Linked DNA regions of Caenorhabditis elegans. The protein of the gene in region 2 purifies or fractionates together with the protein of the main gene of each other region. This does not show direct contact. Each region holds a gene or a part of one and is shown on either strand. Other genes may lie near its edges. The genes, in order: hpo-8 and paqr-2.

Region 1 (14,123 bases), on a different chromosome or scaffold from region 2:
ACGTCTTACGAGAATAGAACAAGGTAAGTGTGCTTAAAATACCAGACTAATTTTGGTTTTTTAGTTGATGTTTTCTAGGTACTGTACAACGATCGTTCAGTCATGGGCTGATATCATATTCTCTGGATCTCAAGATTTCAAAATAAAAGCGGACAATGAGACAAATCATACAAACGGAAGCATAACATTTTTTGGGTCAATTTTGATAATTATTATTGTTTTACTCTCATTCCATGTTTAACTGTCTGGAAAGTTTTATATTCTAAAACGACTTACTAACTTTTTTAAACGGCTATAAATTGCGGGTCTCTACTTTTTTTTCACCCTAACATTTAAAAATAATTTTTAACATTCATTGTACTTATTGGAGTTGAAACAAAAAAATTTTGAAATAAAAATAAAATTGCTCAAGAAGATGTAATTGGGCTTTAAAGACTATTCACTGCCATGCCATTTTTCGAGTAGTTACCACCAGGGAATTCTTCATAATTTTCTGAAACACAACTTTTTCAACTTAAAAACTATCAAAAATCTCAACTGATTGCATTCTCTGTTTGACACTCTCAGGGACAAATAACCGAACAAAAATTTCACGGAACTGCGAAGACATTATACAATAGATGATAAAAGACGTTGATGCGTTGAAAGTAAGTAAAATTTCGATAAATTGAAAAGTCCACTTTTTCACAAACCTAAAAAGCAATCTTTGTATTAAAAGGTTGAAAATAAATTACATATAATAGTCAATCATATATACTGCACTGAAAATAGTTACCGCTGCACTCGGGATTTTGACTAGAAAAAACATTATCAAAACTACTTGCAAAAGCCGCGAGGAGTTTTCGATTCCTGATCTGAAATTTATTTACATGAAATTAATTTATGACAAAGTCTATTATCGATTTTTCTTGATTAAAAAGAGTTTCTCAACTTCTCGAAACGTTTATGTATGTTTCTTGTAACTTCTTAAAACGAATTTTTGTAATAAAATTTGAATATCGGGAACCTTAAAATTATTAAAGCTTACGAGCTTGATTTGCCCATTGTTTTCTTTCTATGAGCTTTGAAAGAGTTCAGTTTGCACAGAATTAACAAGAAAAATATGAAAAGCAGAAGTAGTGGAACAATCTGAAATAATTTCGTTGAAGTCTGTAACCAATTATTCTCAACGTCAAATAGAATCCCATAAAACAGCAAAGACATCCGAAATACGATGCATCCATTTTCAATGTATTCATCAGGTATTGTCACAGCATACTTCCCAGTTAATGTTCTGAAATGTGAATTATAAAGTAAAACTAATGTTTCGTATGCATCACTTTTCAATTTCTGTAATTTCAAGCACAGCGCTGGACAGCATTCCGATGAAAATCCATAGAACAGCCGAGATTGTAACAGCAACTTTTCTGCCTTTCCATTTGTCGCTTAAACAGAAGCAAAACGCTTTTGAGTAAAAATGGTGAAATTTCTATTATAAACTAGTTAACCTGATGATAGTTTGAAAAATGTTGTAAATTATCAAGGTACCATACAAGAATTAAAAAGTACATTTGAAACATATTTTGGGTGGTTCTTGTTTGAGGTAAACGTGATAAAATTAGTAGAGACTGTAACACTATTTTTTTGAGGATAATTTTGAATGCAAAACTTTTTAAAAAATCAATTCAAAAAATTAATTCAAAAAATCTTACCTATTTGAATACAACGCCATAACTCTGCAAAATGTCATCTGCACAACAAGATAATCTGCCATTACAGGCACATACAAATTCAAAAAATTTTCTAAATAATTGTACAAAGCTCTTAAATAAGTCTCTTCCGAGAGCAATTTCAACATTTTGTCGAATAAATTCAAAGTCACACTAGAAAAGTTGCACAGGGCAATCATAATCATTGTCAAATTTATTCCAGATGTTCGCAGCTCTTTTTGGGACAATACTACTATAAAGCTAATATTACAGAAAAAGTCCAATACGGTGAAGAAAACGAGAAAATAGATATGAAGGGGGTTATATGCTCTGCAAAATTAGGAAACAATTTAGAAATCTTGGGATCACTTACTCAAAAAAACTGACTAGTACAGTTCTTAAAAAAGAATCTTCAAATAAAAATTGATTTGAATCGAGCAAATTTTGTTGACAATCCGAAATATCTCCGCGATTTTTATTTTCTGACATGTTTTTTTTTTCAAATGAGTTGTATTCCACTGTCATTTTATTTTTATATTCAGATATATGTAGGTTCAAAATTTTCATAATTACTATTTGCTTTTTAACATACTGTCAATAAGTTCTTGAGACGTTTTCAGCTGTGTTTTGTATTTGAATTTATAACAACACGTGGTATTTTTAAAGTTCTTGTACAAAGTCTAGACAAAATTTTCATAGGGTGCAGCTGCCGCATATTTGCCTCGTCGTTTTCCGCTTGGAAAACATCCGAAAAAGTAAGATTATAATACAGATGAATTTAAAATAGTCAAAATATTTTGCGCTAAATGCTAGCAAAAGTGAGATAACAATTTGACATTGTGTCAAAAATTTGCAAATGTTCGTTTTAAATATTAATGCATTTCAAGCAAGTATTGAAGCTTGCAAAATAATAAAAAAAAGCAAAATAATAAAAAATCTAACACTCAAATTTCAACAAGGTTGCTTAATTGTCCTGTTTTGATAGTTCATTTCACGAATTCAAATGGCAAATTCATCAATTCTCAGATTTTAACATTTTCCATTTTTTGATGCGATCAAGGAAATGCCACCCAAGGACGACCGCAATGTCTGTGTTTTCGTTAACTGTTTATTCCGCTTCCGTGTTTGAAAACCTCAGGGACAGTAATGATGTGAACGAGAATATGCGGAGAGACAGAGAAATCTAATTTGAGAAACTGTTCATCTGAACTAATTGAGTTGTTTAGTAAGCAGTGAAACTTTACTTTTTCACTTCTGCCTTCTCCAACGATATTTAGCACCTAGGAGGAGCTAAGTATATAGGACATAGTAGAGGATTGTCTCGGAGAGATGACCTCGGAAGTATTATGTAAGACCGTATAAAAGGCAAGGTGTGTCCACCGAAATGCATACTTCATCCAATACGATGAGTACCAGCACCTTCGTTTCTGTGGCTTCGGCCATCTCCGGTCTTGCTGTTCTCGGATGCCTCTTCACTGTTGCGATGATCTTCAACGACATCAACTCATTCTATGATGAAAAGATTGAGGAGCTCAATGAGTTCAAGGGACTCGAACAAAACGCATGGAGATCAATGATTCCATCCACTCGTCCTGTCAACGCCGAATCACTTCTTCTTGGGCGTAATAAGAGACAAGCCCAATGCAACTGTGGAGCTCAATCTCAAGGATGCCCAGCTGGACCACCAGGACCACCAGGATACCCAGGAGCCCAAGGAGAGCCAGGACTTCCAGGAATCGCTGGACAACCAGGATCTGGAGCTCGAGTCAACCCACAAACCGGCCGTGACAGTTTCTGCATCACTTGCCCAGCCGGACCACCAGGACCTGCCGGAACTCCAGGAGCTCCAGGAGCCCCAGGAAACGCTGGAGCCCCAGGACAAGATTCCTTTGGAGGAGGACCAGGACCAGCTGGACCAACAGGACCTACCGGAGACGCCGGAGCACCAGGACAGCCAGGGCATCCCGGATCCCCTGGAAACCCAGGACGTGGAGGGCAACGCAGCCGTGGACTTCCAGGACCATCAGGAAGACCGGGACCACAAGGACCGGCTGGAGGACCAGGACAGCCAGGACAATCTGGTGGATCAGGCACCCCCGGACAACCCGGAGCACCTGGAGCACCAGGGCATCCGGGACAAGCAGGAACTCCAGGAACTCCAGGAGCACCAGGAAATTCTGGAGCCCCAGGAGGAGATGCCGGTAAGAAACAAGTCTCATGACTATAAAAATATTTTCAATTTTCAGCTTATTGCCCATGCCCAGCTCGTTCTGCTGCAATGGCCGCTCGCAAGCGCGTCTTCAAGGTTGCTCGTTCCCGTGCCGCAGTTGCCAAGCGTCGTGTCGTCAAACGTGTCCGTGTTCAGAAAGCCTAAATTTCTGGAATTACCTAATGAAAAAAATAATAAATCATTCAACATTCAATCCAGTTTCCTGTAGTCACAAGAAATCTTGCCAAACAACGATTTTGAGATAAAACCTTTCAAAATAAGACAACACAGAAAGTAGGGTCCTGCAAATGTTAATTTGACCTTTTCATGATCATAAGACCCGGTTTATTTTCTGTTCTCTTCTCACTAAAAAGTTGTTTGGTCACCAAAACGGTTTCAAGGTCTGTCTCCTCGAACACGGAAATTGGCAACGTACACTAATTGGAAATACGGAAAAATTGAATCAAAAAAGTAGTACACTGGTTAGTACTCTCTTACTTTTACACAATCTCTTGAAACCCATCTTCAAATTGACAAGTTCACATTCAGAAAAACACTGCCCATCGAAGGAAGAGATGAAAACCGTTTTTGCGGTTTTGTGAATCTATAAAAGGTGAGACAAGCAATGAGAATAGACACACATTATCGAGTCAAACGATGAGTGCCAGTACTCTTGTGACTGTGGCTTCGGCCGCTTCTGGTATTGCTATTGTTGTCTGTGTTTTCACAGTTGGAATGATCTTCAATGACATCAACTCATTCTACGATGAGAAGATCGGAGAGCTCAAGGAGTTCAAGGGATACGAGCAAATCGCTTGGCAGGCAATGATCCCAACCACTCGCCCATCATCCGGATCATCATTCCTTCTCGGACGTAACAAGAGACAAGCTCAATGCAACTGTGGCGCTCAATCCCGTGGATGCCCAGCTGGACCACCAGGACCACCAGGACAGCCAGGAGCTCCAGGAGAGCAAGGACACCCAGGACTTGCTGGACAGCCAGGATCTGGAGCAAGAATCAACCCAGCTACCGGAAGACCAGGATTCTGCATCACTTGCCCAGCAGGAGCACCAGGACCAGCTGGACCACCAGGAGCCCCAGGACCAAAGGGTAACAACGGGCAACCAGGAGCCCCAGCTCAATCCGGAGGACGTGGACCACCAGGACCACGCGGGCCAGCCGGAGATGCCGGATCACCAGGACAGCCAGGACACCCAGGATCGCCAGGAAACCCAGGACGTGGAGGACAACGAAGCCGTGGACTTCCAGGACCATCAGGAAGACCAGGACCACCAGGACCAGCTGGAGGACCAGGACAGCCAGGACACTCCGGAGGAGCAGGATCTCCAGGTCCACAAGGACCACCAGGACCATCCGGACAACCAGGACATTCTGGAAACGACGGAGTTCCAGGAGCACCAGGAAACCCAGGATCCCCAGGAGGAGATGCCGGTAAGCAAAATCTCAGGAACAAACACATTTTATTTTGTTTTACTTTCAGCCTACTGCCCATGTCCAGCTCGTTCAGCTGCTATTGCTGCTCGTTCCAGAGTTGCCGCCCGTTCCCGTGTCGCTGCTCGTTCCCGTGTTGTTGCTCGTTCTCGCGTCGTGGCTCGCAATCGTGTTGCCGCCAAGAGACGTGCCGCTGTCAGAAGACACCGCGTCCAGAAGGCTGTTGCCTAAGTGGCAAAATGCCGCCATTCTCTTTAATAAATTCATTTCATTTCAAGAATTTTCTCAAAAACAAAACACAATTAAATTTAAATATTGAACCAGTACAATCCTCTATCAGCCGTATGGAACTGGTAATATTGATATCTATCCAAGCTCGAATCATCAGGGCTGAAAAATTGAAAATTTTACGTTTATGAGAAAGATAATTAACTAACTCTTTCGTTTCCACTATAGATATTGAAGCCATCAACATGAAGCTAAGTACATAAATCGAGATAAGAAGAATGACTGAAATTAACAGAAGAAGATTTATGAAAGCTGTTCGGTTATTACTTACTGCATGGAACTTCAAGAAAAGTGATAGGTGCCACAAAATAATTCCACATTTGCAAACGATATTTTTCATGAAGATATTTAAAATCTTCCAGATCATTGCCAGTTCTCTGAAATCCTTTCAATTTTTGACTAAAACCAACAGTAAAACCTTACATTCGCGACAGTTAGACTCAACTCTCTAATTTTACTGGCCGCAATGGATGCCTGAATTCGATCCCTCTGAAATTATACTGTATTTTACAAATAAATATAGTGTAATCCCACTTCAAAACCACAGTAGAAGCATTCTACTTTTCCAACCACACACAGATTAACTATTTTCTCGATTTCTCTGAAAAAGTAAAAAAAAAGTTTTAAAGAAATTAAAAAATTAAGAAATTAAGAATTCAACTCACAGTTTATTTTAGCAATCCATCCTTTAGTGTTTTCCAAAAATAATACCTCTAAATTGTCACACTGAAATTTAAGAGGTTAAACAAAACAACAAATTTTAACTTTTGCTCACTAATTCTTTGATTGGCGTATGATAATCCACAGTCAGTTTAAGTTGATCTTTCATCGCATCTATCGAATTTAACACTCGCACGTATGTTTCATCATTATTTTTCACTGAAAATGTTTAACCGTTTTTGTGGTAGATAAAAATTCAAATAATTTAATTTCTTGAATCACTTACATAATTCTTGTGGATTTAATGCTAAAAGCTCCTCGAGAACAGTTTCATCAGTTGACTTTAGAAAATCCCTTAAACTTAATACTTATAGAGTGTTCTATTTTTTACTTTAATACCGTAAATTGAAGAAAGAAGTTCCATTTGAATCTGTGACATTCAGTTTCCCAATAACTTCTAAATCCGTGTCTCGTAGAACATTCAGGAATAGACTGTGAGAAGCACTACTAAACAGAATCACAATAAATGACCAGATGAGCGCCCAAATTGCTGCGAGTTGAAAGATGTGATTACATAATGTCAGAAACGAACCGAGCGGGACAGCTGCATTGTTTTCTGAAAATAACAAATGATTTGAAACATCCAACCTAGTAAACTTACTTTCCAAATAATCGTGCCCTCGGTATATGGCTAAAAGAGCAAGCAGCGAGATGAAACACGATGGAGCAAATAGACAAAGAAGAATATAAAACGATGTTGAAACAATGTAAGGACTCTGAAAAAATGTACTGGTTTTCATTTCTAATCAATTCTCACCGGCAACGTGAACAGGTTTTCTATACTTGCATATACGTCTTTCAGAAGAATTAGTCGTTCTTGTGCTGCTTGTTTTATCAATGCAACATCCGATCTGCCATGTACCAAAACATTAGTTTTTATTTTGTCAAGTGCCACTGGAAAATCGTTCCAATATCGGAAAACCGTAGGATCAGGTATATTTGACTCTGTCTGTAAAAATGTTCTAATGTTTGAATCGCTTTTACAAATGCTATAAAAATCCAGAATGCCCCTTTTTATTTGGAAAACAGCGTACTTGACGTCATTTTTTCTGAAAATTAGGTAGACACATGTTCCAGAGGTGAATTGAGACTAGCGAGTAGACTTAACGTGATACAGTAAAGATAAGAGAGTTATATTGATGGGTTACTGTATGTGAGCAAGTTAGAACATCTCTTTTTGTATTTCAACCCAACTGCTCACCAAAAAGAAATCAGCTATGCTCCAATTTGATATTTTCACTTTGTGTGTTCCAAATCCACATACTCCAACAGTTGCATTGCAATCTTGCTTAAAGTGATCAAAAAACCGTTTAACAGTGTTCAATATATACTGAGGAGGTGGCACATTCTGAAAATAGTTTTAAATTTTCAGTTCCTTGAGAAACAAATACCTGGAGATGATATCTCTTTATCTTGTTGTGTAAAACTTCAACTTCATCCAATTCAGAATCAATTTCCTCAATATAACACGCGAGTCTTGAGCTAACCAAATCAACTGTGCGTGTGTATTCTGAATAATTCAATGAAATTTATGATCAGGAAACAAATGTTCTTTGAACTAGACATTCCATCCGGTCGGGGCGCCGTTCAACCTCCCTCCTCTGTACTGACCATTCATAAACTTTTCCATCCTTTTTGATCTATCGTCATACACATTTACATAATGTTGTATCCAACTGAACGTGTCGAATGCATAATAACTGGTGAGCGCAATAAAGAGAAAGTAAAATAGCATCAACACACTTTTCAGATAGAATCCTCGATATGGCTGAAAATTTTTTGTCAAATGTGGCCTGTGTGGCGCTAATATGCTTCATATTTGAAATTATACCGCTATTAACAAATCAAATTGAGAGCGGGAAAACTTGAAAGTGCAAAATGTGTAGATTAACCAGTAGAGGTAACATACTGCAACTGCTATGTAGAATAGTGTTGATTTCTGAAAAAAAAACACAGGTCTTTGAAAACAAAACCAAAAATTATACTCGAAAGATTCCCAATTTGGAGTATTCGAAAGTGGTAAGACTCTGATTGGTAATTATTTTTTCTCCTGCTTTCTGAAAAGTATGAAAAATTAGGAAAATTTATAAGTTTGCAGCTTACCAGCAGAACAATATCCTCCATTTTTGTGAACTCTTCAACCATATTTAAAAATGTTTTTGGGGTGATAGAAGTTTGAATTTCTGATGTTAAGTCTGGTGGCTGATGGTCAAGTCGATAACATGCCATCTCGGGAATTACATTTGAATATATTTTTTGTATGCATAATGCTATAATTATTGTCTGAAAATATCAATTTTCAATCTAAACTTCTTAAGACTTTATTTTAAAAACTCACAACAGTTTTCCACATAATTAGAATTTTCATACAATAACATTTTTCTAGCAATTTCCTACGCGTTTCCAACGTTTCTAAATTCCAACGCGATGCTATCCGTTAAGTTCACGTCGTTTACTTTTTTCTGGAGGCGTTGCCCATTTTGCATCTTCTTCACATTTCTTCCTCGTTGAAACTGGTTTTGAAATAATAGGACACAAGTCAGGGATTGATAAACCAAGATGACCCTCTCGATTCTCTATGCTATATCCTCTGTTACCTAGTAACCGGTAGAATTGTATATAAGGTAGGTTCCGTTACATACAACTTCACTCTCATCTGCAGAGATGAGCGCCAGTACTCTTGTGACTGTGGCTTCGGCCGCCTCTGGTATTGCTATTGTTGTCTGTGTTTTCACAGTTGGAATGATCTTCAATGACATCAACTCATTCTACGATGAGAAGATCGGGGAGCTCAAGGAGTTCAAGGGATACGAGCAAATCGCTTGGCAAGCAATGATCCCAACCACTCGCCCATCATCCGGGTCATCATTCCTTCTCGGACGTAACAAGAGACAGGCTGAATGCAACTGTGGAGAACAATCCCGTGGATGCCCAGCTGGACCACCAGGACCACCAGGACAACCAGGAGCTCGCGGAGAGGCAGGACTTCCAGGAATTGCTGGACAACCAGGATCTGGAGCAAGAATTAACCCAGCTACGGGAAGACCAGGATTCTGTATCACTTGCCCAGCAGGAGCACCAGGACCAGCTGGACCACCAGGAGCCCCAGGACCAAAGGGAAACAACGGACAACCAGGAGCCCCAGCTCAATCAGGTGGACGTGGACCACCAGGACCACGCGGACCAGCCGGAGATGCCGGATCACCAGGACAGCCAGGACATCCAGGATCTCCAGGAAATCCAGGTCGTGGAGGACAACGCAGCCGTGGAACTCCAGGAGCATCCGGAAGACCAGGACCACAGGGACCAGCTGGAGCCCCAGGACAGCCAGGACGTTCTGGAGGAGCTGGAACTCCAGGACCTCAAGGACCACCAGGACCATCCGGACAACCAGGACATTCTGGAAACGACGGAGTTCCAGGAACCCCAGGAAACCCAGGAGCCCCAGGAGGAGATGCTGGTGAGTTTCTCGAAAGTTAATTATGTTATATTTATAATCGTGTATTCCAGCCTACTGCCCATGCCCAGCCCGTTCTTCTGTCATGGCCGTCAACCGCCGCGTCGCTGTCAATCGAAATGTTGCCCGCAACCGTGTTGTTGTCCGTCACCGTATCGCAGCTCGCCGCCGTGTTGCCGTTCAACGCAGAGCTCGCGTTCACGCACAGGCCGTCTAAGCAACAGTCATTGTTTAATAAATATTCAGCATACAATTTTTGATAATTTCATATATGTACATTAGCGAACAATTGGAATTCTAGATATAATCAAAGCAAGATGAGCAAACACAGCATTTCGATTCTCTTTTATAACTTCGTCTAGAAGACCTTCTTCACTGGATAGAACATCCTGAAATAAAGAGAAAAAATAATGGAATAAGTTGTTTTGAATTACCTTAAAGAATACTTTGAGTTCTTCAATTTTCTTATTTTGAGCCTTGTGAGAATCAATTGTCGCTTTCCTTGTCTGTTGTTCTCTCAGAAGCTGATCTTCAAGAAGTGACGTCATTTTTTGGCACTTGTCTGAGTTTTGAAGAGCTTCGTCTAGCTATAAGTTATTATTTTGCTATATTTATTTCAAAAGTTTCAACACTTACTTTACTATTCAATTCATTCTCAATTTGAATATATTTCTCGAGAGTAGTTTTTCGTTTATTCTCCGATTCTTCCAGTCGTCTCTTACTATCTTTCAATGCCTTTTCAGTCTGGAAAAGACTAAATAAAAAAGTTAGGAAGGAAATAACTCACAGTCTGGCCACTCTTTTCCAAAAGACTCCGTAATTTTAAATTCTCTTCTTCACGTTCCTGAGTTTTTCCTATTTCTTGCGTCAATTCGGATTGTTTCTCCTCGAGCATTTGCTCCATTCGTAACATATCTTGCTTCTTTCTGGTAAGTTCTAATTCCAAATGTTCAATTACTTGATTATTCATCAGAGTGTGACCTTTGCTCTCCAGACTTGCTTCAATACGGATCTCAGCAACAGCTTGCTCGAACTCGGCGCTCAAATCTGCACGAGCTCTGGAATTTTCATTTAATTCTCTAGATGATTTGCGACGTGACAATATAAAAGTACGAGACTTTAGTGGTCGAAAAGGACCAAGTATTTCTTTTAAACAACCAGATGCTAAATGAGTCTGCATATTTTTTTTTCAGAAAATGCAATTTCCATAGCTTGGCAAACTCGGTAACTCCTGATATTAAAGACAATTTTTTGGAACACAAAAAACGATACTTGTGTTGGTTTAGTAGGTTTTAGGAACTGAAATATATATTTTTGACTAATAATTTTTGTTGCAAAATTTTAGGGAGCCGTTCAGGCGTGTAGGCTCTAGGCAGACGCAGACAAATAGGCACGAAGGCGAGCCCATCTACCATCGTAACCCCTCAATTTATACAATTTTTTGAAACCTACTGCTCAATAGCTGCAATTTTGACGCTTCTTTCTTCTGCTTCTTTTCTTCGAATTGTCTCTTCCTGTTCATCAACGACACCTTGTAGAGAATTCAGTTTTGCACCCATCTCAATGATTTCTAGCTCGATACGATGCTGGTTTCCCAGTTGTGTATCTAAAAATTTTGAAAAAGTTTTTAATTCTACTTTCACTATTCTCTTTTCGGCCTACCCATAATGCTCATTTCACTCTTTAACTTTTCAATTTGCTCTTTCAATTTCTTCTCTTCTAATTCAGAATTATCTCTATGAATTTTAAACATTCTATCTGATTCTTTTCTCTGTTCTTCCAACATTTCTTCCAAACGAGCAGTCTGAAACAATGCTCGTTCTTTGCCTTTTTCTCTAATTCCTCTCTTACCTCTTCGTCTTTCTCTTCAACCAATTTTTTCAGATAAATAATCACATCGTTCGACTCGAATGTTAAATTTGTCAACTGATTCTCGGTCGCCTCATTTGTTACTATCATTTCTGCGATTTTTTCCTGAATGAAGCATAAAATTTAAAGTAATTTTGATAATATTTTCAAAAATTAAAACCACCTGCAGTAACTCTAACTGTTCCTCGAGAGGTTTTTCATCAGAATCCTGGCGTTGTTTAGAAATCATAGTTGTGAGTAACTAAAGTAATACGTAAAAGAACTCAGAATGTCTAGAGTTCAGATCAGTCAGCCATAAAATTTCAATTTCCGTCCATGGTGCAACAACTAATTTCCTGCGTTTGCTTAAATATAAATAAGTCTTCTTTAGTTTCAAAATTACATTTAATATTTTAATACAAGAACAAAAAAAACTGCTTCAAGTTCCTGTTCCTGTTCCACAAAAAATTATTTTTTAAACTGTCCCCAAAAACGCCCTGATGTAGATTTACGATAAACAAAGCGCGAAGGGTTATTTCGGAGTGTTGTAGTCAAGAAAAATGTTTCTTAAGAATTAAAATTTTAAAAATTATTTTCTTTCATTTTCTTAATTTAAGTGATTTATTTCTAGATTTTTTGATTAATTTCCAATTAAAAAACTGAAGTCTTCAATTTTTATTAAAAATAAATAACCTCGCTCTCATAATTTTTCTGAAAAACTAAGAAATTTACATTTTTCCTGTATCAACCAAGATATCGTATGAAGATTTATATATTTTCAATTAAACTTTCGAATTTTACCAATGTTTTACATTACATAAAATGTCCCATTTTATGTTTTCGCTAAATGTTTCTTCAAACTCCCCGCAAGTTGACTGATAACGTTTCTGTTGTACATCACTCCATTCTACCCTTTCATCTTTTTTTTCGTGTGGCGTGATATACTTTTCTCATTTTCTTTTCTTTGCATTGCCTAAAATCCTTATTTTTGCAGGGTAACAATGAGCGTTCAGACGTATCTGGTTGCGTACAACGTGTTACAAATTTTAGGGTACGTTTTTTTTTCTGAAAGAAGTTCACTATAATTTTAATAATTTAAATTAATTTCAGATGGTCTGCAATTCTTGTGAAAACAGTTCTTGGACTCGCTAATGGCTTGACATGGCCACAACTTTACGAATCGGTGGAATTTGAGCTTAAAATCTTCCAAACCGCAGCTATTCTCGAGGTTAGCTTTGTTGAAATTGAAAAACTTTTAAAGAAATTATCATATTCAGGTCATTCACGCAATTGTCGGACTTGTTCGTTCACCAGTTGGAACTACCGCAATGCAAGTAACATCTCGCGTCGTCCTTGTCTGGCCAATCCTCCACTTGTGCTCAACAGTGAGTTGGAATTTTTTATCTTAAACTTGAATAAATTAAACCAATTTTTAGGCTCGCTTCAGTATCGGAGTTCCACTTCTTCTTGTTGCCTGGTCCGTAACAGAGGTCATCCGGTACTCGTTCTATGCACTCAGCGTATTGAAACAACCAATCCCATATTTCCTTCTCTACCTCAGGTATTTTGAGATTCTGGGGATCAATGCTATAACTCAACTATTTTAATTACAGATACACCCTCTTCTACGTTCTCTACCCAATGGGAGTCTCCGGAGAGCTTCTGACGTTGTTCGCTTCATTAAATGAAGTTGATGAGAAGAAAATCCTTACCCTCGAGATGCCAAACCGTCTCAACATGGGAATCTCCTTCTGGTGGGTGCTCATCATTGCTGCTCTCAGCTACATTCCCGGATTCCCACAACTTTACTTCTACATGATCGGTCAAAGAAAGAAGATTCTCGGCGGAGGAAGCAAGAAGAAGCAGTAAAGAAAAATTCTACGTGTATTTATATTACAGTGTATTCTAGATTAATTGCAACCAATCAAAATTCAACTTTATTCATAAATTATTCTCCCGTAATGTCTTCTAAAAAAACAGTCACCCGAAAATCAGGATGGTGGCGTCATTTGAGCAAGAGCTTCGGCCTTTGCCAAATAATTCTGGTATAAATAATAACACCAATATATGAGATTCAGAAAACAAAACGACAATGGAAATGCTTTTCTGCAGAATTTGTCGACATTTTGTGCAGTCCATTTGGTATTTTCGTCATCGTCATCCGTGAGGAGTCCTGGAAAAGTAATATTTAGAGAATAAACGATGCACAAATTTATTTAAAAGTACCGAATTGTGCGAGAGCGTGCAAAGATTCGAACATATTGTTCGCTTGTCGAGAAATTGAAATTTTATGGCTTGTAGTCCCGTTCTGCTAAAAGATAATACATTTAAAATAATAAAAAAAATCAATAATCTCACTGAAAAAGGCTCATCATAATTGCTCCTCAAGTCGCTCTCTGCTGCATTTGCATTGGTTACTGTAGTTGCACCATAGTTATTTTTCTTTCTGTCTTTTTTTCT
Region 2 (17,651 bases):
TTCATCACATTCACTTTCACCATCTGAATGATGATATGGGGTCTTTGGTTCATCAATCTGCAAAATTCAAAGTTTTTGAAAATGGCAAAATAAAATTTAATAGCAATCTGAATATGTTGAAACAATTTAAAGTCAAATAATTAAAACAAACGTTCATGGGAAAAATACGTTAAAAGCTAATAATTCTAGAAAAAAAATCAAAATGATTGACTGTCGGAAAATCCTTTCATAATTTTTCATTGTAACTTTCTAAAAACTCTTGAATTTTTAATAACTTTTTATTTCGCTTATTCTATAATTACTTTTTAGTGTGAATTCGCATTTGAATTAACTTTTTTTTGGGAAAAAAGCTGTAATAAAATTAACTATATTTTCAACAAAAAAAAATTAGACGTTTTTTAAATCATATATTTTCGATAATTTTCAGTTTTGAGGTGTTTTTTAACAATATTTGTTCATTATTATTCAAAGTCCTTTTCAATGAAAAAAGTTCGGTTTTTTGTTTAAAAAACTAATAAAAAGGTAGTTTTCTGAAGGAAATTTTGTTTAGATGTAAAAAAACAAAGTTATTTTTCCCAATTTCATTTTTTTTGTTTCAATTTTTTAGTTGAAAAACTTTTCGAGGACGTTTTTTTCCCAAAAAATTCCCATATTTCATCCAAATTGTTTTTTTAAGGGTCCCTCTTGAGGAAGAAGGAAATATTTTTTGCAGCCACAAAAGAAAGCACATGCTAAAAAAAATAACCTTCATGCTTCCATAATCCTTGTCAGTTGGATGATAAGTGGCAAGAATATTCATTTCATCAAAATGTGCACGACCATCTTTGCCCTCAAGCGATGAGTCTTGTTTCATCTTAAGAATACTCTTCTTTGGCTTTCTTTTCAGAAACTCGGCTGGATCATCAAGACAAATCTTTCCATCGGCTGTCAGTTTGACGTCGTCTGCAGAAGCGGAGGGTGATGCCATTTTCTGAAAATAGATGGAGAATTTATTTTTTAACTAGGTTCGAAAAAGTGAATAGGTAAAAAAAGCAAAGCAAAAAGAAATCGTTTTGAAACGTTAGTTATCAAATTACTATTTAGAGGTACTTGTCATAAAAAGTTTTTAAAGTTTCTCAAAAACTTAAGAATGTTTTTTTCAAATATTTTCGAAATCAAACATAAAATGTTTTTTTGCTAATTTATCTTTGTAGATTATTTTTTCCTCATCACTTAAACTATTGGATAATCTAAAATACATCAATAATTCTTTTCCATATATATTCCCGTAAACACGACTGAAATAGCTAGAGACACAGCGTGGTGAAAAAGTAAAAGCATGCGAGCTGTAATCTAAAAGGAAATTAATTAGAAACGAAAAAACTGGCTACTCGCCTTTTTTGCGCGGAACAAAGATGTGATTGTTGCAGAGAAAAGAGTCAAGAGAAGCTAGTAGATCCTACATGATTAATGACTTTGCATACTTTTCGTCTTTTTTTTTAGCATTGAGCTCTCGAATATTTGCGAAAGAAACCTTTTTTTCACTAAATGATCAGAACTTCGAATGATTGAATCACCAAATTATGTATTTTCATATATTTTATATTCCCTCAGTGATCAGTAGTTGGTGATCAACAACGTAATTATCTTTTTGGTCAGCTTTTGATATATTATCCGGTTGGTTAAAAACCGAAAGATGATGTCGAAAATAGAAAAAAATAATTTGAAAAATGTTGAATGTGGCATGAAAAAGAGAAATCGAAGCCCTACCATATATATTTTTAAAAAAATATTTTTCTCTCGGTCAAAATTAAAAAATCAGGTCAAAATGTTCTAAATCTGCAAAAAAGTAAGTCTAGGTCTTAGAGAAAATAATAATTTCTAGTGCCTGGTTCGTCGAAATATTACACCATTTTAATGATTTTTTGAACTAAAGTTCTTAAAAATTAATTTTATTCATCAAAAAAATATTTGAAAGTTATGTAAATGATTACTTTTATAAATTTCTAAAGCACGTACTAGTACATTTCTGAAGAAAAAAAAAAGAAATAAGGGTGCGAAGAACTGACACTTCAGAAAAATTGAGTCCAAGAAAGGACATCAATAAGTTTAATATTTAAACTAATTTTTAAATATAAAGTAACAATTATAGTGAGTGGGTGGGTTGGGAGCAATTATTTATCAAAACTTTCAAGCTCAGCAAAATATATTGAGTAATTTCAGATAATTGCAGCCTAGAACTAGCAATTTCAGTTTGAGATTTCAAAAACATCAAAATCAAATTTGAAATGAAATGGCACGACGGCAAGAAAATTCCAAAAAGAGACTCCGCCCATATATTGGCTACCAAAGTGTTTTTAATCTAATTTTTCGTATTTTCAGTCATATTCTAACTAATAATATGACTATTTAGAGCCTCGAAAGTGGTAGGTCACCTTAAAGAAAACATTCTTCACGCACAAATGTTTTTTTGACAAATGGAAGAATAGAATGAGTGAAAACAAGTTGGAAGAAGAGTAACGAGTCCAAAAAACTCTTGGGTGGCCGCATTTTATTCTCCGTCTAAGGCGGCTAGAGCCAACGAAGAGCCAATAATGCAATTGGCGCCTCTCCTCAGCCTGTGGGGCTCTCTGAGAGAGCGTTCAAGCGAAAAAAGAAGCAAGGCCATAGGGGGAAGAACATTTTTCGTCGAAGCCAGCAGGCAGCTGAAAAAAATTGACAAAACGAGAGAAAGCTCAGAAGAATCTGATAGAGATCCCCCACACACTCCGGAAGGGTCAACTGACTTGTGAGTGACATCACAAGGGGAGACGCCAGCCAAGAGTATTGACACAGTCAGGACTGTACGTAAACTTGTTTGGTTTGCCGCCTGTCCTCTTTCTCTCTCTCTTTTTTTCGGAAAACCGAACAAAAAGCAATCATAATAATAATCATGTTCTTTGATCTCTGATTATTTATCCATAGCAGAAGCCGTTGCTTACTTCAAGTAGTTGTAGAAGAAGATGAAGAAGAAGAAGACGTGATGATAATAACATGTACGGGAGGAGAAGAGCCTTCGAAAATGAAAAATGTAGACGGAGGGTGCGGAGGAGACCTAGAGAATGTTTTCGTCACCTTTCAGTTTTCACGGAGAGGGGTAATGTGGGGAAGCAACGATGTTATTTGCAACGTGGCCAAATTTTGCGGTTGAGCTTTCATTTTACGGTCACTTATAGACAAACATTTCAACTATTTTATGCAGAAGGTAAAGTTTGGCAGAAAAAAAACACAGATTTTCCGACAAAAAACCGGAAATTAGTTGGAAATCCTAGATAAGCTGCCTCAAATTTGAAATTCCGCACTTTTTTAAAAATAAATATCTGAACAGAAACTATTGTTGAACTGATTTTCATTCGTTTTGAAAATTGAGTTTCTAAAAACCGAAAATGCTGTGGAAATCGTGGAGATACACGTTTCAATACCAAAAAACGACCACCTTCAACGGATAAATCCGAAAATTGTATAAGGAATAACTAGAAAATGCTGCGAGAATGTTCTTTGAAATGGGCTTCACGAAAAGAAAAAGAACATCGAATTAGTGTGTATCTCTGTGTCTGTGTGTTCACTCAATCAATTTCACTCGGTCTACATTCGACATAGTCTCGCAAAAACACAATCCCCCGACATCACAAAAGGTTTCCACTGCGCGTGTTTCACTGAAAATATGATTTCACACAGATGTGAATTTCACGAGGCTGATTTACGGTATTCGGTCTCGAGTCGAGTGATGCGAAAAAGATATTGCTCCTTTGAAAAGTACAGTAGTTTTGCAATTTCTTTCAATTTTTCTTGTTTTGCTTTAAAAATCAAAATGAGATTTGTGCAGTAAACTGTAGAAAAAAAATTTTGATTTTAAATTAAAAAAAAAACAAAACAGCGAGGAGGACAAATTACTTTTAAAGGCGCACACTTTTATTTTGCTTTTTTGCGATTAAAAAATGCATCATAAATCGCAAAATGTATCATTTGAACAAAATAATGTATAACTGTGGGGTGCCGAAAATTGAGGCAGCTGATTCCGGAAATAGAGATCTGCGCCATTCGGTCAGAAGACGAAATAACACACAAAATAAATTGGACAGACTATTTTTAGTGCCATGGTAATTTTGAACAAAACATCGAGAATTTTTCTGAATATTACTGGGCAATTTAGAGAAAACTTGACCGCTGAAGGAAACAATTAAACATTTTGTTTTTTAAGTGTTTTCTTAAAATAAAATGCTGAAACAGTTATTTTATTCAATATTCAAAATTCACAAAGGCCTTCCAAAACTGACGGTTTTCCCCAATTTCCAAGTTCTTTAGAAATTGTGAAAGATTTTTGTCGGTTATTTTGAAGCAAAATCCGGAAAATCGCGAAAAGATTCTAATGATTAATGCTTAATCCTTTTGAAGGAAGAAAAATATTATCAAAATATATAAACTGGCATGTGAAACGTGGCTTATTTTTTATTTTGTTTTTTATTTAAGCTCCTCCCATTCCTGACCTTTCGTTGAAATTTTCATTTATTAGTTTATTAAAAAATGGGAGGAGCTTAAATAAAAAACAAAATAAAAAATAACCCACGTTTCACATGACAGTTTATATATTTTGATAATAACAAAATATTATTTTTCATTTTGATTCAGGAAATTTTCAGGAGAATGGGAGGAAAGTTGGAGCTAATAAATCGAAAATTTTGTTGTTTTTATCAGAGCAGAGACAAGAAATTGTTAGAATGCGGCGACCCGAAAGAAAAAAGAAAGAAAAATAGAATAAAAAACTGAGGAGCAACAAGTGAACAATGTGAGAGAACAAACTAGCCGCAGAGGGTGCAGACATGCATACAAGTGTACGAAGAGAACGGAGACTCTGCGTGACACACAACTCTGGCACTGGAATAATTTTTTGGGGCTGAAAACAAAAAATTCTAAAATAAACAAACAAATCTGAAAATTTGTCTACTTTTGGTACCGTACTCCATTTAAAGGGACATTCTACTATAGTATGCGTGGGTCTCGCAGAGATACAATATTTAATCCCTATTTTCGTAGATGCGCCTTTCAAGTTACTGTACTCGAGATTGTTTAATAAAATTCCTTAAATTATCGACTTCAAACCAATTTCAGATTTCAGCACTTCCTGATCGCCTGAGAACATTGAAAAACCAAAAATCTGATCAAATTTCAAGTAAAATGAAGAAAAAGGGTGATTTTGCTAGATTTTCACCTGCATGGTGTGGAACTACGAGTTTTTTCTGTAGAAAACTGATGAGAAATTGCAAGATATGTGATTTCGTGAATGTTTCGCTAAAACTCTTAAATTTCCGCTATTTTACAGACACTAGCGCTTGGTAATTATGCCGACTTCATGAATTGTTCGAAAAATCACAAAAAAAAATCGAAAATTTTATTTTAAATCGCCTAGACGACTACACTCACACGAAAATAGAATAATGGGCTACACAGTAAAATGAAATTCATAAAATACGAAAAAGAAAAAAAAAACAAAGCTCGAAAAGTTCAATGTTAAAGTTTAAAAAAACCAAATCTGGTTCCGAGAAAATGAAGGAGAACGCGAAAACAAGAAAAGAATAATAAGAAAACTAATTTCAATGGAAGAAAACGGAACGAAAAGGGGGAATAAAATGAAAAAAGGAGTGTATAGAATTTATCACATTGGAATTTTAGCTGAGAATGTTTCGACAGATAGTTGAGGAGCGTGGGGAAGGGGAACCAGGTAATTTGAAAGAAAATGGAAAAAAAAATGGTGAAAATGAGCAGAAAAAGGATAGTATGAAGAGGGTTGTAGCAGCTTCAAGAAGAGCATATATACGCAACTATACATATTGTGCAGAGGTTTCTGAAAATTATAAATTTTTTAAAAATAAAAAATTGGAAACAAATCTACCTCATAAACCAACATCCGCCGGTGTCCAGTCTCTGACATTGAGTGGCTCGTCGAGCCCAAGCAAAGTGCCAACGAAGGAAGGATTCAACTCGTTACCGTAACGAGTTTTCAGTTGATCCGGGCAGGATCCTTTCATGAGCTTATGCATTCCCATTTGGGAGATCGCGTGATAATGAACAAAAGCGGCGAGCACGACAAATGTGTGAAAGAGTTGATGCGATTGGAACTGAAAAAATAAACGTTATTAGTTTTTTTTTGAGTAAAAAAGATTGTTTAGCTTTTATTTTTTGAGTCTTTTTCGTATTTTCGTAAATTTTCTTTTGCAAAATGTGGTTTAAAATCTTTAAAGTTATGTTGTCTGGTTTTCCGGAAAACCGAGAATTGAAAATATATATTTTTATATTTTTCTCCAATTGCTAGTTTTTTTGAAACCACATACCCAAATATCGCACTTTCCAGGGAAACATCTCTCAGGTACACGTGTCGCATAGAGTGTTGCACCACCAATATACATGGCTCCCATCATAATCATCAAATGAACTTGTGACTCCTCAACCATATAATGAACACCGTCAACTACAAGTAAATGAAATGCTGGGACCACAGCCGATAGGCCCATTGCTATGAAAACTGCTGCTCGTACAGGCCGGAATTTGGGCTCCGCGAATTTATCCCAAAGCGAGACGACCATTGCAGCGATTCCAAGTATAATAATCATTCCGTTGTATATTATCATTGGTTGAGGTCTACAGTAGAATGCAAAATAGATCCACGGAACAAATGATCCAACGATGAGTAAGGAAATCCCAGTGTAATCGAGTTTACTGAACAGTTTAGCCATTTCAATAGAATGGCATGCAACCGTATGAAAAAGGAATGACATTCCAAGACATATCACTGCACCGAGGAAAAACGCCGAGTAGATCAATTTCTCCACCCATTGCATTTGATCATGGGGACGAGTCAGAAACCATATTCCGATACCGAAGAACGCAACACATCCATACATATGAGTCCAAATGTTTCCTGTTTCAGTGTGCAATGCAAAAATACTCTTGAAGCAGCTACTGAACGATGGAAGTGGAGGACGATGTCCTGTACGGAGGTATTCGTTATCTTGAAGCCATTCGGGTAGAGTTTCGAAATTTGTTGCCTTCCAGCGGGCTTCCCAGAACTGAAAATAATTTTGTAATATTTTTTTTTTAACTTTAATCGTTTTTTTTAACCAAAAAATTATTCTTTAAGATTTCTCATAATTTCAAGTAATTGTCTTGCAAAAAATATGTAGAAACTTATCAAAAATGTATATTTTTGAAAATTTTCTTATCAATAGCTCACATGTGTGCAAAATTTTTTGGCTCCTAGTACAAAGAAAATTTTGAATGTAATCAGAAAACTTTTAATAGAAAGAAAAACCAAATCAAACATTTTCGGAGATTCGTGAATTTTCAAAACTTATTAGAAATGTTTTTCTCTACATAATTTGTTTAAAGCAAAATTGCCGCCAATTAACATTTATCGCTGCATTTTTTGCTTTTTTTTGTTGCAATTTTGCAATTATCTCACTGGAGTTTTCCCTCACCCTCTTGATAACAGCTCTTGGTCCTTCTCCAGTTTCGCTAGGAATAATAACTTCTTCTTCATTAATCTCAACTTCAAGCTCATCATCATCATCACTATGATCCAAATGAATCTCCGCATCATGTCCAGCAGTAACAAATCTCAAATGTTTTCCATCTTCGTGTCCCCGACGTTGTGGATGTAATTTGTATTTGACAATTCGTCGACGATGCTGATTTCCACCTTCTTCATGATTATCATGAATAACTGCAACTGTCATCTTTTCTCCTTTTGCATTCGGCATACTCCATGCTCGACGATGTCCTTTTTTGAATGGTAATGCGGCTGCTTTAGACGTTGATGGGACATCTCCATTGTCAATTTCGATTCCTATAGAAATCATTTAGTAATAGTGTAGTTTAGTGAAAGGAGGGAAGTATTTTTGAAAAAAACGAATGAGAACACTTCCTGTCACCTAAAATTAATTTGAGGTGACGGTCAACAAGTTTTTTTTTGGTTGGAAATTTAACTTTTAATTCACTAATTTATTAAACGAGAGATCGGTGTAAATGATGCGATTTTTGGTTTATTTCGTTACACTGTAAACAAATAGTAAAAAAAAATTTTTTTTTGAAAATGTTCTCATAAATTGCGCAAAACTCTTATTTTTTGTTTGGTTTTGCTTTAATATCAAAAGCTCAAAAGAAATATTTTGTTTTGTTTTTATTGAACATTTTTAAAAATCGATTTTTTTACATTTAAAAGCCTTTTTTTCTTGAACTCTAACCTTTATGGGAATTAAATTGGATAAATCGATAATTTTTGAAAAAATTGGTTTAGATTTTTATTTGGAACATCATAAATAATGTAAATGTGTGAATTTTTTAATTAGAAACATTTCTTCAAAAATTCCATTTTTATGGACGAATTTTAATACTTCTCAAGAAGAATTTGTGGGAATGAACTATGAAATGAATATCAAAAATCGGTTCAAATACAAAAAGCATGTTATGCGAAATATTAAAGTATTTTTCGCACTTTAAAAAAAAATCATTTTTTTCAATAACCTTACCTTCAAGCAAAGTTGGAAGCCTATTCTGCCTTGTCACATACATTGATTCGTCTCTTTGCTGACTTGCAGGCTGTTCAACAACCTTACTATGACGAACAATAATCTCAAATCGTTGACCATCTGATGGCTGACTATTCGGACTGAAACAATGTTTTTTTGGAAGAAAAAAAAATCTGATGATTATTTACAATTGAACATCGACTTGATCAACAATCACATTCTGATTCTCTTGTGTATCAGCCAACTGCAGCGGTCCGTCAGTGATAATATTTTCTGCCTCTCGGAGCACATCCTGCAATGCACTTTTCAATTTTTCAAAATTTGATTTCTGATCACCGTAAAAATAACATTTGTCATATGAGGGCAAGCAGTGATAAATATGAAAACACGAAGTGGCTGGCTGGAGCTTGAAGAATGATATTCTAGCTTTTTTAATATTAAATAAGAATTAGCGGTAACTGACCACTAAAAAAATAGGAAAAGGTTTCAGAAAAATTCTCACTATTTGTTTTTATTGGTTTGCAGGAAATTCAAAAATAATGCCGTTAATTTTTTTTTGTATATCTGAAAAAACCTAAACTTCAGAAACTTTAAAATTTTTATACAGCTACAGCTTTAAATACCGAGAAAAAATTTCAATTTTTTTTTGAAAATAGAAGATCTGAAATAGTGGAAAATTACCATTTCTTTGAAAACACTTTTTCTTCAAAAAAACATCTCCAAACAGTGAGAATTTCTTAAAACTTCTAGCTCCAGCCACCACTCACCGACAACAAAAATCAATAATCATATGCTAATCTCTTTCAACCCAACAAAAAACGTACAGTAACACTCCGCAATGGGCTTTGTAGATTACTGCTATTCCGATTTTCCATAATTAATTCATCATTGTCCAACACCATCACCATATCTCTCTGAAATGTAATAAATTAAAACTAAAAACTGTGTTTTTTTTCTTTTTTCATAGAATAGATCACGTGAAATAGATTACCTCGTCAAACGAATTTCGAACGCTTTTTTGCAAAAGTTTTTGCGATTCCGCCGGTGTTGCCGATTCCACGTCATCTTCCTCCATTTTGTTAAAGCTGAATTTTAGTTTTTAAAATTTTTTTCAACCGAGAATATAAGAAATTCCAGAAAAAAATCAAATAAAATCGGAACTGTGAGAGAATAAAGCGGATATTGATTAAAAAGCTTTTGCTCACACATACAAACCAAAAGCGCAAAGTTTTCTCCGTTTTCTCAAGAAAGCTTATGAGACAAGAGGGCGACTCGTGCTGCTGGAATGTGTGTTGGTGCGGGGAAGCGCATTTGCTGACCGGAGACTCAGAAGAGGTCAAAGTACTCCTGCATGAATTGGATCCAATGTAGTGAAATTATGACTTCCTTGTTTAAAATATGAGTTTCTGAAAAATTTGTTGAGTATTTTCAACGAGCTTTCAAGTTAAAACAGATTTTTTGTGTTTCCCGATGTAAAGCTCCAAGACGTGTTCGAAGAAATGGCGGAAAAATCGGCGGAAAAAAATTTGGGAAGTTACGCGAATTTTCCATGAAAAAAAGATTCGAAGGCAATTTTTCATATAATTTTTAAATAGTTTTCAATTTAAGTTATCGAAAATTGAGGATTTTAATGTTTTAAATGAAGAAAACACCTGAAAAACCACAAAACTTCGCTAAAAATTAACAAAAGATAAACGAAAAAGACACAATTGATATTCGTGATGAGACCCAAAGTGGAAGTGGTATGTGCCTTTAACAACTCGTTACGGTATTTTGCTTCTAAACTTTTTTTTGAGTTCTTTTACAAAAAGGTTTTCGTAGATTTCTAGTTTTCAGCACTGATCAAACTCATTCTAATTTTTTAATGCTTCGAAATATGCAAAAAAAAACTCCAATTATTTACAAGAAGCAACGGAAACAGCTAAACTTTAGAGCCCGTGCCGAGACCCGTCCTGGAAATGACATGCGCCTTTAAAACTACACTACGGTAATTTGGATCAATATTTACTTTCTCAAAAATTAATGTTTTCTTATTATTTTGGCAGTCACCAATATTCTTTAAAAAAAGCGAATTTATTTATGAAAAATGTTGAAAAAATAATACAAATATACAAAATATCTTTAAAATGCAGGAAAATTCAATTAAAGCTCGATATATAAACAATTATTAAAATATAAATATTTATATTCAAATTTTATTTCGACTTCTTATGTTTCTCTTCGACTTCATTATCATCCGAAGAGCTCTCAGATCTATCGTCTCCAACTTCCGATTCTTCGGTGTCTTCACCACTCATTCCAGGAAGATGCTTATCCATTTGCAAAAGGAGTTCGAACGAAAATTCCACAAATCGCTCCATAGTTTGCTTATCTGAAACTCAACATTTTAACAATAATCATTATTACGGTATGATACCAGTGTCAGTTGTATTGAAAAGTTCGACTTCAGTAATTTGCCTAGCTCCCAAGATTTTCATTCGTTTCAGCAAAGTTCTGGCGACTTTATTGAACCCAGCTGGCCCATCATCACTGCTTCCGAAGCCAACAATTGAAAATCTGATTTTCTCGAAATTCGCCTTCTTTCTAAGCTTCGAGTCCGCTGCGAGATCCTCAAGCCATTCCAAAAACCATTCTGTCGAGGGTGTCGGCTGACCACCAGCCGTAGTTTCAGAGATAAAAATACAAAATCCCTTGAAGGCCATTAACTCCTTCACATCCAAAGAGTCTGACCACCAAATCATCGGTTTTCGGACCATTTCATCACAAAGCTTGTCGTGAATCACCTTGGCCCACGGAGCTGCGAGCCCGTCTTCTTTTCCTAGAACTATTACGACGGCTTCTGATTCGGCAAGTTCCTCGGCAAGTCGTTCTTCTTCTTTTTTCTGAAAGAAATTGGAAGTCGTGGCGAGACCAGATTTTTGTTGATTTTGTTTTCCACTATTACCAACCTTTGAATAACGTTCATAATATGCATGGCACTTGCGATAGAGCAGATAGACAAATCCCGGCATCAGAACTCCCAAAGCGGCAGTTATGTATAGCAGAATCTCGTCCTTTCCTTCCAAATAATCCTCGAGCCACGACTGCGGCTCCTTGCCACGTGGACCTCCTTCAGGTCGCAGTGGTGGAACTTGGTAGGCACACATTTGGATATTTTACTGAAATTCGAGCAATTCTCAAATAAGATAATAATAAAAAGATTCAAAACGTAGACACCGATTTAGTTTTGAGAGAAGTGTCTGCGCCTTTAATATAGCCATTTTCTTCATTAAAAACGTACCAAAATTACACCACAACACATCATGCAAGGAGCACCACACAGCAGGCATCTAAGTAAAAAAAATTGGAAAAAAAATCAAACTGGCTAAGAAAAAGAAGTAATAGAACTGGACAGTGAGACCAGCATTCCGAAAAAAAATTTAAAAAGTTGAAAAGCAGAAAATATTGTTGAACATTTTTATTAGCAACAGTTGAAAAATGCGTAAAACCCAATGAAACAAAAAGAAGATCTCTAAATACTAAAACTATAAAATCTTAAAGCTACTCTGAAACTGTACAATTGAAAAGGACGATTTTCGCAAAAAAGTCCACTATACGAGAACATTTAATAAAAACGGTCTAGCGCATTGGAAGAGATCAAGATCCGGATCCAGAGATCGGCCGAATCCTTCGAGAACCATTACAGACAGGATTACTGTAGTGAAAGCCGAGTCGAGCTCCACTTTGTGCTCCGCCACAATTGTGAACATTTCTGAGAGAAGTGCCGAGATATTGAGCTGAAAAAGTTTATATTGATGAGGGAACTTTATTTGAAAAATTTCAATTTCAATATATTTCGAAACTAAAAAACCTATAATTTCTTGAGTTACTGATTTTTGAAACAAAATCGGAAATACATAGTTTTGATTTAAATTTAGTTTTCTAAAATTTCAAACTGTTCGAATTTGTTAGTTTTCAATTTTTTTTTGTATTTTTAAAACAAAAAACTAAACTAAAACTCTTTCCGATGTCAATTTTTGAAATTGAATTTTTCTTTGACAATTTTCAGAAATAATTCCAAAATTTTATACATTTTTTCAAGATTTTACGATTTTTTTAAATTAAAATTCCAATTTATAAATTAAAATTTGAAACATTTTCGTTTAAAACGCACAGTTCTCAAGCTCTTTTCGCTTCTGGCCTTCAACACAAGCTTTTCCACTTGTCGGCAAAACCTTTCCGGATCATTGCACTGTTGGAAGGGGGATTGATGAAGAAGAAGCTTCCCGACATCGTATCCCCGTTTCTCCACAACACTTCTGAAAAGCGATTTCAAATTGTGCAAATTTTTCGGTGTTTCGGAAATGGCAATTCCAGTGTCTAGAAGGACCAGAGTAGGCTCATCTTCAAGATCCGGAGAGTCGGTGAAACGAATTCTTGGAGCTGAACGCAAGTTTACCAGTGAACGAAACCATTCCAGCTGCAAAAATAATTATTATGATCCATCAGATTTTTTTTTGTTTTTATCTTGCACTTGTCAAAAAAATCGAAATATCTACAGTAACCCGTACCCCTCTTTTAAGTGCACTGTCTGCTTTCGGCGCCTTGTGTACTCCTCTGAGATTATCTTCATTATCATTGAATCGAATCAGAATGTTTCCCGGATGCAGGTCACCATGCACAAAATTGTCGACGAAAATCATTTTGAGAAGGGCTCGGGCTCCGAGCAAAGCAATTCTCCGTCGAACTGCTTGTGATTGTCGGGCGGTTAGCTGAAACTGATTGAATATTGGAGGGAATCCCGAAAATCTATTTTTTCTATATTTTTTAAACGTTCGATTTTATTTTTAGTAACCATTTCGAAATCAATAATTTTTAAAAACAAATAACGAAAAAATGTTTCGTTTTCAAAAATCTAAAAAAATACCTTTTTTTTTTGAAAATCTATCTTCGGATTTTTGAAAAATAATTTTTTTATTGGCAAAATTCTAATTAATTTTTTATTTTTAAATTTACGCAATAAAAATTTGAAAAAAAAAAGTTTTTTTGCAAAATGAATTTTTTAGAGTGGAAGTTTATTTTGGAAAATTATTTCATATTTTTTCTACCAAATCTCCAATTTCTAACCTCTGGCTGTCCTTCCTCTGCAACCAATCGATTAATATAAATTCCTTCTTCAAATGTTTCCACAATTACATTTTTAGTATATCCAAGCACAATTGGAAACTTAATTCCAGTTTCTTTTGAACTAAAATTGTCTGAAAACTTCTTCAAAGCCTTCGCCTCATTTCTCAAGTCAACTTGTCGCCGAAGTACCATTTCAAATTGTTCAAGTGCTCCAGTTGGATCCAAATACCAAAGAGCCGGTACAATATGTTGCATTAACCATGCTCCACTTCTCAGAATTGAAAGATCCAATTCAATTTGCTTATCAACATCTTTATCAGCCACTTTAATAGCAATCCGTTGTGTTGTACGTCCTTTAAGCTCTGGGTATTCCTTTCCAGTAGCCTTCTCAAGTTCAGAGATATCTACAGTACCTCGATATACTTGTGCAATACATCCTGAGCCAATTGAAAATGGTTCAATCTCGAGAAATACTTGTTTTCCATGCAATTTCATAAATCCTTTTCCAAATACTTCATTCATTACTTTTTTCTTATCACGGAAGAATCTCTTGTTTTTAGTTTGAATATGAAGCACGGAGAGCTGAAATTGAAAATACAAATTGAAGATGATTAGAAAATCAAAATCTCACCCGATCACAAAACTTTTTTGTGAAGATGTCCCTTCGTGTACTTGCCCATTGTCCTAATTTAATAAAAGTTGGTCCAGAATGTTGAAGAGACCACAGAAGATATCTCCACCAAAGATTCTCGAATGCTTCTATTTTTGTCAGAGGATAAGTGAGAAGAATTGGAGAAAATCGAAGGAATAAGCTAATGCATCTGTAATTATTTTATTTTCTTTTTTTCCAGGAAATCATATTTTAGCATTTTTATTTTCAGATCAGAGATATAAAAAGTTGCCTTTTGGAATATTTGTACAATTAAAAATTGAAATTTATTTTTTTTCATTGTAACTCCAAATTAAAAAAAAATTGCAAGACAATTTTTTTCAGAAAATTGCTCACCTGAACATTTTCCTTATTGCTTTATAAGTGACAACGATCAATGTAATCGGTAGAGTTATTATGCCCATCATCGTTGATTTTTCCACTACGACTTTCTAAAAATCTTGATATTTTATGGGATTTTTTTCTTCGAAAAATTAAAAACTTATGCAAAAAAATTGGATGTGAAGAATAAAATTCTAGAGTTTTTGCGTAATTGAAAGTTTTAAAATCATTTATAAAATTTTGAAAGTTTGAATATTTAACTTTAAAATTCGATCTTACTTTCTGTGGAACAAGAAGCCATGGATCTTGATGCTCTGCTTCACATTTTAATGTCCGTAACCTTGTTAAAGACACAGCTCCACCCATTCCGAGCACAATTCCTAATTTAAAATTTCTAGAGCTCACGGCTCTGCTGTGAGCCCAGCACCTGTACAAAATTAACCTCGTCGACCCGAATATCATGTCTCTGGAAATATGAAAATATTGGAAATTCTGAAAAAAGTTTACAGAAGAAGATAAAATTCAGGATTCTAGAACCAGTTTTCAAATTAAAAGGATGACCCGAAAAAAATATCATAAAACAATCTTATATCACATAAAATCCAATCAGAACAAACAAATAATTTAACATAATTTTTGAGAAAAAAAAAATAGAAAGGCAATTTGATGGGCGCAAATCGATTCAAATATATATATACAAAATTATCACATATTGAAAATATACCTTATAATCACTAGCGATTGAAAGAATTTCAAAATTTTGAAAAAAATAATGGGAGAACAATTGAGGGGAATACGAAATACATTGGAAAAATGGCTATAAAAATGAGATAAAGATAACAAAAAATTTAACAAAAAATATATATATAAAACAAGAAGAAAACTGTATATCCTTCCTAGAACCACTTGCGTCCGTTAGTTTGCGCATCTTTTGGATCGTATTTTTTCGGCGGTTTGTACATTTTCTGAAAAAAAAAGATTTATTTTTAAAAAATTTCTTTGAATTTTATCTTGGGTCTGAAAATGTAGAACTGCTAGAAAACATTAAAGCTCATTTGTTATAGATATTTCAAACATTTAGAACTTTCAGAAACTATTTTTCCATACCTTTCCCTTCAAAATACGATTAATATGCTTCGGCTTCATTCTATTTGCTGGTGGAATCTTTCGTATTCTCGTCTGCATTTTCAAATCACCCCATGACCAGTGTGCTGTATCAGAATTTTCAACAATTAATTCATTGATATGTTTCAATAAATCTTTCTTTTTTGCCGGAAGCTTCGCCTCAATCTTAAATTTGTCAAGATCCGCAATTCCTTCCAACATCTCGTTGATTTTTCGTCGAACCTTCCACTTTTTTGCTCCAATTGCTCGTTTTTCCAGAGCAAATGTTTCTTCTGGATTTACAGGTTTCGATCGGAGTTTTAAAAGCATCAGCTCTCTTTGTGCCTTGTTCATTGCTCGGCGAGCTCGTTTTCCTTTTTTCGAGCTGTTCAAAGACTCAGTTGATCCACCAAGAGACGAAGATGAATCCGATCGAACTTCTGAACCAGAATCCGAATCAGAACCCGAATTATGCATATTCAGGAATCTAGACATTGATTTTGGATCTTTCGGTGTCTGTCGTCTAATTTCTTCAAATGTCTCTTTTCGTTCCTTCCATTCTTTTGGATGAACTTCCGAATCAACTAATTCCGCAAATGTTATCAATTTGGAATCATACAGGAACATGTTGGTTTCTAGCGGCTGAAAATTGTTGAAAATAGTACTTTTTAAATTCCAAATTAAAATAAAAGATCTGCATTTTTTTGATCGTGGAACGAAATTCAGATTTTTGTTTTTAAAAAAGTGATCTAAAAAAAATTTTGGGAAGACTTTTCTTTTGAACTTCTTGCCACTAACCATGAAATAAGTTCCCCGAACTTTAGTGATCATCATATCAAGCAATGGACGCTGCTTTGCATGTAAAGTAAGCAAATGTTGGAATCTTTTCCGTCCTCTCTCAAAATCAGCCAAATGTGGTGCAAAACGGAAAATTGCCTTCTGAGCCATTTTATACATTAATACAGCCATAAATCTGCGTCTATGGAAATCTGATCCCTCGTGCATACTTCTGAGCCATTCAATTTCTTCTTCACAATCCTCCATTTCAAGATATTTCGCGTTTGGAGCCGCCGGTTGAACTATATCTGTATTTCTGAGTACTGGAGACTTGTCATCATCGTTCTCCTCGTCTTCTTCAGTCAGAGAAATCTGAAACACAGAAAATTATATTTAAAAAATCAAGAACAAAATATTTCTTCTAAAAATCGAACAAAACCCGTCGCTTTCCAAATTGAGATGTTTTCAAAAAAAAGCAGACATTTTTAAATTTTAAAACAATTTTTGTTAAAAGAAAAACCAACATTTTCCGTGTAGTCATAACCACCAAAATAATTCGTAGTAAAATATGGAATCTTTCCAGTCGCCAACTGAATCAATGTATCCTTCACAACTTGCTTCTGATCCTCTGCCAGATGAGCTGAAATATTGATTTTTAAGGAGAAACTGAGAAATTTACTATAATACTGAATCGAATACCCATTTGTAAATTTAAAAAATGCATTTTCCAAAAACAAAGACTTACGGGAATCTTCATTACAGAACTTGCTGACTGCTGCATCAAGACTATCGAATAGTGAAGCACTTGGAACATCAGAACGGTCGACCACTGCAATTTTAATATTTACTCTTAAGTAGCGCCAGTAGGGAAAGTGATTTAAAACACGACAAAAATGTCTAAACACTATACGAATAAAAGAATATACTATTTTCAGGCTCGTCGTTGTCGGAAAATCTAACTTTACGTATTTTCAGTAACTTTTTAATAAATAATTAAATTCAAATTAAAAATTTTCTCCGAATTTCCAGCAGAAAAGCACAAAAACTTAAAAAATCAATGGGAAATGAAAACTGAAATTATTGAAATTATGAAAAATTATTAAATTTGAAAACACGCAAGTGCGCTCCATCGA

The links.
Region 1: the proteins of paqr-2 (region 2) and hpo-8 purify together in Caenorhabditis elegans (affinity purification with western blotting; one study listed by BioGRID). This does not show direct contact.

Annotation. Positions count from the first base shown.
Region 1 is NC_003283.11:6,826,632-6,840,754, forward strand, and holds hpo-8 (Very-long-chain (3R)-3-hydroxyacyl-CoA dehydratase hpo-8), read left to right. Parts: upstream 1-12,657; 5' UTR 12,658-12,664; coding exon 12,665-12,714; intron 12,715-12,773; coding exon 12,774-12,891; intron 12,892-12,940; coding exon 12,941-13,048; intron 13,049-13,099; coding exon 13,100-13,224; intron 13,225-13,276; coding exon 13,277-13,532; 3' UTR 13,533-13,623; downstream 13,624-14,123. Other genes in the region: T15B7.8 (Nucleotide-diphospho-sugar transferase domain-containing protein), read left to right, coding at 1-23, 79-241; dmsr-15 (G-protein coupled receptors family 1 profile domain-containing protein), read right to left, coding at 440-493, 539-692, 735-854, 1,028-1,128, 1,171-1,273, 1,320-1,424, 1,692-2,018, 2,062-2,255; col-141 (Nematode cuticle collagen N-terminal domain-containing protein), read left to right, coding at 3,073-3,889, 3,935-4,062; col-142 (Nematode cuticle collagen N-terminal domain-containing protein), read left to right, coding at 4,555-5,350, 5,400-5,581; T15B7.14 (Chloride channel CLIC-like protein 1), read right to left, coding at 5,659-5,740, 5,788-5,860, 5,910-6,015, 6,062-6,127, 6,173-6,239, 6,300-6,364, 6,414-6,517, 6,585-6,652 and 10 more; col-143 (Nematode cuticle collagen N-terminal domain-containing protein), read left to right, coding at 9,023-9,818, 9,869-10,032; T15B7.15 (GRIP domain-containing protein), read right to left, coding at 10,094-10,204, 10,250-10,402, 10,452-10,559, 10,603-10,873, 11,268-11,421, 11,478-11,619, 11,667-11,789, 11,848-11,913; lgc-54 (Ligand-Gated ion Channel), read right to left, coding at 13,655-13,836, 13,890-13,974, 14,022-14,121. UniProt on the Caenorhabditis elegans protein: Catalyzes the third of the four reactions of the long-chain fatty acids elongation cycle. This endoplasmic reticulum-bound enzymatic process, allows the addition of two carbons to the chain of long- and very long-chain fatty acids/VLCFAs per cycle.
Region 2 is NC_003281.10:5,370,305-5,387,955, forward strand, and holds paqr-2 (Adiponectin receptor protein), read right to left. Parts: upstream 9,626-17,651; 5' UTR 9,616-9,625; coding exon 9,532-9,615; intron 9,455-9,531; coding exon 9,365-9,454; intron 8,833-9,364; coding exon 8,729-8,832; intron 8,681-8,728; coding exon 8,541-8,680; intron 7,859-8,540; coding exon 7,491-7,858; intron 7,083-7,490; coding exon 6,348-7,082; intron 6,135-6,347; coding exon 5,910-6,134; 3' UTR 5,909-5,909; intron 5,861-5,908; 3' UTR 5,395-5,860; downstream 1-5,394. Other genes in the region: szy-2 (Protein phosphatase inhibitor 2), read right to left, coding at 1-57, 746-967; Y32H12A.6 (Flavodoxin-like domain-containing protein), read right to left, coding at 10,736-10,911, 10,957-11,422, 11,489-11,686; Y32H12A.7 (ABC1 atypical kinase-like domain-containing protein), read right to left, coding at 12,131-12,316, 12,694-12,999, 13,091-13,297, 13,647-14,228, 14,278-14,467, 14,653-14,747, 14,917-15,099; Y32H12A.8 (WDR59/RTC1-like RING zinc finger domain-containing protein), read right to left, coding at 15,534-15,602, 15,745-16,383, 16,540-16,890, 17,043-17,347.